2 linked regions of the Nothobranchius furzeri genome follow. The protein of the gene in region 2 purifies or fractionates together with the protein of the main gene of each other region. This does not show direct contact. Links are inferred from orthologs where the notes say so. Each region holds a gene or a part of one and is shown on either strand. Other genes may lie near its edges. The genes, in order: lto1 and abce1.

The links.
Region 1: the proteins of abce1 (region 2) and lto1 purify together in Homo sapiens (affinity purification with mass spectrometry; 4 studies listed by BioGRID and IntAct, with this or other methods). This does not show direct contact. The link is inferred for Nothobranchius furzeri from reciprocal best matches to the Homo sapiens genes ABCE1 and LTO1.

The regions. Positions count from the first base shown.
Region 1 is NC_091749.1:21,692,084-21,695,902, forward strand, and holds part of lto1 (protein LTO1 homolog), read right to left. Parts: intron 2,096-3,819; coding exon 1,990-2,095; intron 1,897-1,989; coding exon 1,826-1,896; intron 1-1,825. UniProt on the Homo sapiens protein: The complex LTO1:YAE1 functions as a target specific adapter that probably recruits apo-ABCE1 to the cytosolic iron-sulfur protein assembly (CIA) complex machinery. May be required for biogenesis of the large ribosomal subunit and initiation of translation.
Region 2 is NC_091742.1:88,857,857-88,861,621, forward strand, and holds part of abce1 (ATP-binding cassette sub-family E member 1), read right to left. Parts: intron 2,172-3,765; exon of another isoform or gene 2,169-2,171; 5' UTR 2,138-2,168; coding exon 2,035-2,137; intron 1,966-2,034; coding exon 1,880-1,965; intron 1,807-1,879; coding exon 1,709-1,806; intron 1,640-1,708; coding exon 1,522-1,639; intron 1,212-1,521; coding exon 1,074-1,211; intron 982-1,073; coding exon 912-981; intron 828-911; coding exon 731-827; intron 662-730; coding exon 572-661; intron 498-571; coding exon 376-497; intron 1-375. UniProt on the Homo sapiens protein: Nucleoside-triphosphatase (NTPase) involved in ribosome recycling by mediating ribosome disassembly. Able to hydrolyze ATP, GTP, UTP and CTP. Splits ribosomes into free 60S subunits and tRNA- and mRNA-bound 40S subunits.

The sequences.
Region 1 (3,819 bases), on a different chromosome or scaffold from region 2:
AAGAGAGACGCACAGGATTGGGACCGCAGTTGGTCAGCCACATTCTCTTCCTTCACAGCAATATTCCAACCAAGTGATTAATCAGTAAATTAAATTTTTTGGTTTTTATAAGTTATCTTTGTTATCTATTAGTGTTATTTGAGCCACTCAATCTGTTGCTATTTGTTAATTAGGTGCCTGTGTTACTGTGCGGCATGCCTAAGTTTGAACGTTTTTATTTTATTTTTTCAAACAGAACACATGCAACATATGGCAAAAAACTTTAAATCTGCTGTTTTTCATGTTTATACGGTACTTGTTTTGCAAAGCGGTCTATTTTATGTACAATGTGATTGTGTTAATTTTTTATACACGTATAAAAACGAAGTTATTAAAAGTCACTGCGCTGTGTTGTCTATATGTCGCTTGTGTCAATATTTCTCATTCAGGTCTCTTAGAAAAGAGGCCTCGATCACTGCGTGATTACAGAGGAGAATAGAATATGAAACGGCCTTGATTTTCCTTTAAGCACCACACAGTTGCTCCTTTATTTATTTATTTTTTTAAAGAATTTTATAATTGAAGTAGTGAGGAGTTATTTGAAATCGCATGCGCCGAGGTGTCACCGGTGATCCTGGTGACACCTCGGCGTTAAATGGTTAATCCTGACCAAGACATGCAGGCCTGAGAAACGAAACAAGGAATCATGTGGTTTCCGTATCCAATAAAATGACATGTTTTCTCCAGAACCAGAGAGGACACAAACTCAATACATCTCTTTTATTGTGAGGTAATAATTTCTCCGGGTTTTGCGGTTGCGGACGGGAGTGGACATGCACACTGCGGGTGCAGGCGGGAGTGTAACATACACTTTGCGGTTGCGGGCGGGAGTGGACATGCACACTGCGGGTGCGGGCGGGAGTGTAACACACACATTGCGGTTGCGGGCGGTAATGGTCAGAAATTCAGCGGGAGCGGGCAGGAGCGGGATGAAGAAAACAGTCCCGCGTAGGGCTCTAGTCCAGGGTATGGGGAGGACACTGGGTACCCTCTTTTATGTCATTTCAGGGTTACAGACTGTTGGTTGAACAACTTGAAGCCCCCTTCAGACAGGCCATGAAAAACGGAAATGTTCAGGACTCTGTCCGTAAGACCTTTGTGTCTGAATACAAACATCCGGATAACGTTTTCCGTAATTAAACCGGACGATGCCCCTAGTAACAGGTCCGGACTTGTTACGGACAAGGTGGCTGCTTCAGACTGGTGAGGTCGAGTTCCGGACAGGGAGGAGGGGGAGGAGGAGGGGATCGGGGGACGCTGTGCGCTCATAGATAGCTCGCTCCTGTAGCATGCGGCAAACCATGGCAGCTCGCCTCCTACGGTACCGTCTAGACGAGCGACGGAGCGCATCACACTGCTTCCGTGATTCCTTTAACCATTGAGCGCCATCATCCAGGTCTTATGCGTCTTCGTGTGCGCAGAATTATGCTTAACATAAGTCCGATCCCCCCAGACATCTGGAACTTTTCCCTGCTGTGTGAAGGCAGCCGAAAGGACAAGTTCCAGTACAAAAGTGGTGTGTCTGAAGACACAGTTCTGGTTAAAAACCGGACTGAATTGTCCACACATATTCCGGAATGTCAATCTGAAAAGGGCTCGAGAGAGCAGACAAGGCCGTGAGAGCTTAAACATGAAGGCATTCTGCTGCTGACGGGACAACTGGTCATTAACAGTGATCAATAGAGAAAACATTTTGTATAGTACCCTCTTCTACAGCTAGTACATCTAACAATCTAAAAAAGGCAGGACGGCAGAATGAATACGTCATGGTTTTAGTAAAACGTACCTCGACCTTTCGTCGGTGTTGTGGTGTAGCAGACACTTCCATGTGATGGCAAAACCATGATAGAAGCTAATCTATGTGAGGAGAAGAGGCTGTTGTTCTTTGAGGGAGTTCATCAGGTCAAGATTCAAGCAAACACCAGATAGCCTGTACAGGCTCCTGCTCACCTCTGAGGAAAGCCTGGCTCCATGAGAGGTTCCATGTCTGCGGCCATCCTGCAGCCCCCGACGGGTTCCCCTCTCAAACCCGTCCCGAAAGCCCTCACCTCGGAACCTGTAACCGACACACTACAATCCAGTCGTGTCCAGAAAATGACTAGTGTTGGTGTTGTAAGGCTATCCCCAACCCTGGTCCTCGGGGCCCACTATCCAGCATGTCTTCCATGTCTCTACTTCAGCACACCTGATTTGCGTATATGCATCGCCTCCTCAGGAGGACATCAAGTGCTGCAGATACCTGTTAATCACTCATTCATTTGTCAGGCAGGTAGCAGCAAGGGAACACTGGTGTTTTAAAGAGCAAGTTGGATTTGGGCCAATAAATTATGTTAATTTGTCAGGTTGGGTCACACAGCGACATTTGCACACTCAAAAAGCGCGAGTGTCTCTGCTCACACTACAGAGAGGAGCGGAGGACGCACCTCTAAACATGCGTTATTATTTCTCCTCGAAGCGCTTCAAAAACTCAGCTTCAGTCTGGCTCAATCAGACTGAGTGGTGTGATGTCGGGAGATCTGGTGTTGGGAGGGGGTGAGTGACAGCGGCTGCAGCATCTAATCACCCGTTTCTTCTCTTTAGGGATGCAGAGAAGTTAATACAAGAGAGTGTCAAAGAGAAATAGAAAATAAAAGTTCTTGTTACACTTTATTATTTTTTTTCATGATGATAAATTAGATTCAATTTGAAGGAAAACTGGGAGGAAGTTCAGGTTTATTTTAAGTTAAATAAGATCTTGTTTCCTTTCTCCTCCTCCGGCGACACGATGGACACGAGGAAATAATAAAAGTCCCAAAGGGCAAGTTTGTAGTTAGCTAGTTAGTGAAGGAGATCCAAAAGGGTTAAAACGAAGGCAACTGGACTTCTTTGGTGTCTTGAAGTTGTTTTGCTTCTCATCTGAGGAGCTTTGTCAACTCTAAACTGGAAAATGGGAGAGTCAAGTTTATAAGCTGTAGCTGTCTGTTGATATTTAACGAGCAGAAACTACTCTGAGTACTAGGGCCCGACCGATATGCTTTTTTTGGGACCAATACTGATATAAAACTTTTAACAAAGGCCGATAGCCAATATAATGGCCAATATATCTCCCTCAAAAAAAAAGAAAGAAAAAATATCTTAAACCTTTCATTCTCTGCCTTTTTGATGCAAACTTATTCCTCTATTACACACCAAAGAACTGTCTCAATAACTCACGAGGGTTTCCAAGTAATGCAAATAAGATTTATTTAGCGGATCTCAACAACAACAGAACACACAAACTCAGTCACAGCATAAATCTAACATTCAAGTTTTTCTTGTAAACTGTGGTCTCCACAAATACATTTTAACTTAAAGGAATATTCCACCACTCAGTAAAATTGTGTCTTGTTAAGATTCCCCAGAGTTAGACAAGTCAGAAAAAGCATTTTATAACCAGCCCAATATGATCTGGCAGCAGTTGGTTTTCTTAGTTTAGCATAAAACAATGAATTCACATAGATTATAGTGTTTTTTATGTAGGCAAACAGGATAAACATATCCTTGACTGTTATAGCTAATGTGTTGTTGATATAATTTATCTATAGCGATAACAATGTTGACAACTCTGTTCTTCCTTCACAACCCACGTTCCACTCACTCGCCAGCTCTCTGGGCCCCTTGTTTTATTTTACCTTTTTCCAAATGTACTGACACTCTGTGTTCTGTTATTTTATTAAATCTTGTGTAAAAAATAAATTGTTTTTCTTTCTCAATTACTGGAATTTCTTTGTAGAAGACAAAAATGGAGAATCATCTACAGTG
Region 2 (3,765 bases):
GTGGTGCTACGCAAGTGTCTAGTCTATGGGTCTCCATCCCTGAGGGCCACTATCCAGCATGTTTTAGCTGTTTCTCTGCTCCAACACACCTGTATAAATGCTTTAATCTCCTGTTCATCAGGTCGTCAAGCACCAAAGAAGCATTTTAATCACCTGCTGAATAAAATCTGGTGTGTTGGAGCAGAGAAACAACTAGAACATGCTGGATGGTGGCTCTGGGATGGAGACCTGTGATCTAGCTCCTGTGATCTAGCTCCTGTTACAGCTGCTGATCTTTGTGACAGCTGCTCCATTCTTTAATTACTTGAATCAATATTTGCTGAAAAAGAAAATTTTGCAACGTTGCTTTGTTCCATTTCTGTGTTTGTAATCTACCTTCTCGGACGCTGAAGGGCATGGTGACCACTCCGTAGGCGCTCGGGACACCGTACAGGCAGCAGATGAAGTCTGACAGGTAGTCCAACACACTCAGGTCGTGCTCCACAACAATGATGTACCTGTAAAACACACACACACGTGTAAAACCAGGTGAGACCAGGAGGACCAACGCCAACAACAACACACGCCTCACCTGTCCGGAGTGATGAGCGAGCGGATGGTGATGGCGGCCTTCAATCGCTGTTTAACATCCAGGTAACTGGACGGCTCGTCAAACATGAAACTAGAACAGAAAACACGGCTGTCAGCAGGTGGACTCGGGTCAGAGGTCACAGCAAAACACCAGACTCACATGTCGGCCCTCTGGATACAGACGACGGCGCAGGCGAACCTCTGCAGCTCTCCTCCAGACAGATCTTCCACGTTCCTCTCCCTCAGGTGAGTCAGATCTGACCACAAACATCATCAACGCTTAGAGTTCACTGTCTTACTGAGTCGGTCACCAAAGGTGGCAGCTGTGCTTAGGTTAGTACCAAGCTGGTCGCAGACGATGTTCTGCGTGTCGGTGTCATCCTTCCTGCCCAGGATGGCCCCTACTGACCCCTGCAGGCAGAGACCGGTAATTACAACAGGTCCCGACTCAGACTGACGCAGATGTTTGGATCGAAGGAAAGAGCCCTGCTGCGGTCGCCCACCTTCACGGTTTTGGGGATCTGATCCACATACTGAGGCTTGACGATGGCCCTCAGGTCGTCCTCCAGGATCTTAGTGAAGTAGTTCTGCAGCTCAGACCCTCTGAAGTAGGTCAGGATCTCCTGCCAGTCTGGAGGATTCTGGGAAGCGACACACACAGATAGAAATCCAACCGTAAAACTTTTATCGGTTAAACAAACTAACAGGTGAGGTGGCTCTGAAACCAGCATGACCTGATATAAAGAACTCATGGACTTTAAATTTCAAATGTTTATACGCGTAAAGTTTTACTAAAACTAAATGTTTAAATGTAACGATCCTTCGTGAAAACGTTCAACAATTCTGCAACAAAACCACATTTTTACTTCCTGATAAGGAAAGTTTATCAGAACCAAACAGAACCAGAAACCCGGTCCCACCCATCCCCGTCCCTGAAGGGTCCACACTCACGTCGTATTTTCCCAGGTTGGGTTTCTGTTTTCCTGCCAGGATCTTCAGAGCTGTGGACTTCCCAATACCGTTGGTCCCGACCAGACCCAGAACCTCCCCGGGTCTGGGAATAGGCAGCCTGTAACAGACAGCTGACCGTCACAGACCCATGAGAGCACTCATCCACCCCAGAGACAAAGCGGCGCACCTGTGCAGTTTGAAGGAGTTGGCGCAGTATCTGTGCGTCGTTTCTTTCTCCAGGTTGCTGGGGAGGTTGACGATGGACAACGCTCCAAACGGACATTTCTACCAGCAGAAAAACCCATCAGCGAACTCAGACTTGCACAGACCGGACGTTTCTCCTCGTGTGTGAGCGTACCTTGATGCAGATGCCACAGCCTATACACAGAGACTCCGAGATCCACACAATCTTACTCTGAGGCGTCACCTCGATACACAGTTTACCTGCAAACACATTTCAGAGTAAAACACCTCCTGGTGTCCGGGTTAGCGCTACGCTGTTCAGACACTCACCCATCCGGACCACCGGGCAGCTCTTCTTGCACTCCTGACGACATTTTTTGGGTTTGCACTTATCGTGGTTGACGATGGCGATCCTGGTGTTTTTATCCGCCATGATGGAGGGCAGGAATGATGGGTGGGAACACCTACTGAGCAGGAAGAGACGAGGGAATGATGACTAATAACTCTGGTTTTATTAAACCTCCTATTTATGTACTTCAGGACTGATGAGCTAACAGCTAGTTAAAGAGCAAGTCACTCCAAATCAATATTTTTTTGCTGATAAACTATATAAATGAGTGTCTGATCGTGCTGTAAACAAATGTATTCAATACCGTAAATCCTCTAATACAGGCCCGAGCCTGTTTTTGACTCAAGCTCATCAAGCTCCAAGCCTTTATTGGAAGGAGGACCAGAATTAGAGGCAGGCCTCTATTTCTATTTGAGCAAAATGAACTAATGGTTCGCTGGAGTTTTTGACAATTAAAATTGCGCCCACATTTTCAAAGTTAAACACATTTCTTTTAACAACGGTAGTTTCTGCTTCAGCCCTCTCCCCCCTCCCCCTGCGCAGCGGCCGCAAACTCACTGATGCGCCTGCAGCCTCTCAGAGTTCCTGCTGCTCTAAACATTAAAATAATTATTTCATTTTCTGTTCCTCACTTCTGATTACCTTCAATGGTGTCTGTATGTTGCAACCACCAGGTACAAAAACTAACTTGTTTTTATTTGACTATTTTTCTGTCCTGCCTGTTTATTATCTTCCTGCATCTCCTCTCAATCCTAAAGAGAAACTGCTACCTGGGTTCATATATATTCACCTTATGAGTTACCTTTGAACTGCAGTTCTAAAAGATCTACCGACCGCAAAAACAGCGGAGTGCGAGCTGCTTGCCGGCCACATCAGTGATCAGTGCGTCACCGATGACAAACCAGGTGATGCGCCCCGATCCACAGCAGCGAAACGCATCAGGCACAAATAAATGAATAAGACAGAAAACATAAAATGAAATGAGCCGACATGAACGATCGCGTGTTAAATTAGTTTTTGAGGTGGCGACACCTGATTTGATAATGTTACTGTGGCCGTGCTCAGGATGCAGATGTCTGGAGCGCATCAACAATCAGAGCTTTGCATGCGCAAGCTGGTTAAGGTTAGGATGGGGTGAGGGGAAGGTTAAATTGCAAGAGGGTAAACGTCACAATTTGGTTAAATGTCCGTTTTACGGCGGGTGTCAGTACCGACGCTCTGGCACAGCGCTTTGCTTCCCGACGCGCAGGAGCTTGTCACCTGCTGACAGCAGGCTGCTGTCTTTTCCGTGGACTGCATCTTGCCGGTCATTATCGCGTGACAGCGACTAGTCGATGACAGGCATAAAAAGTCACTTTAGAGCGGTGAAGTCGACTAGTGACTAGCTCATACAACCCCTATTGCTCCCCAGTGTTCTGCAGCATAATCAGCACGTTCTCTTTGAACTTGATATCAAATTTTCGCCTCCTCTTTGTCTCCGCATGGTTAAAGTTACCCTCGCAGTCTATCACTGGCAAATCAAAAGTGAGACGGATGACACAACCGCCCCCCGTACTTGCTTGTTACCACATTCCACCCGGCCACAATAAAAAACCGGCCATTATTCACCTCCACCGACTCCGACACCGGCCAAAATATGATACTCGGTAGTTAATTAAATACAGGCTAATATTAGAGGATTTACGGTAATTCGGCATTTTAGTTAAAATTTA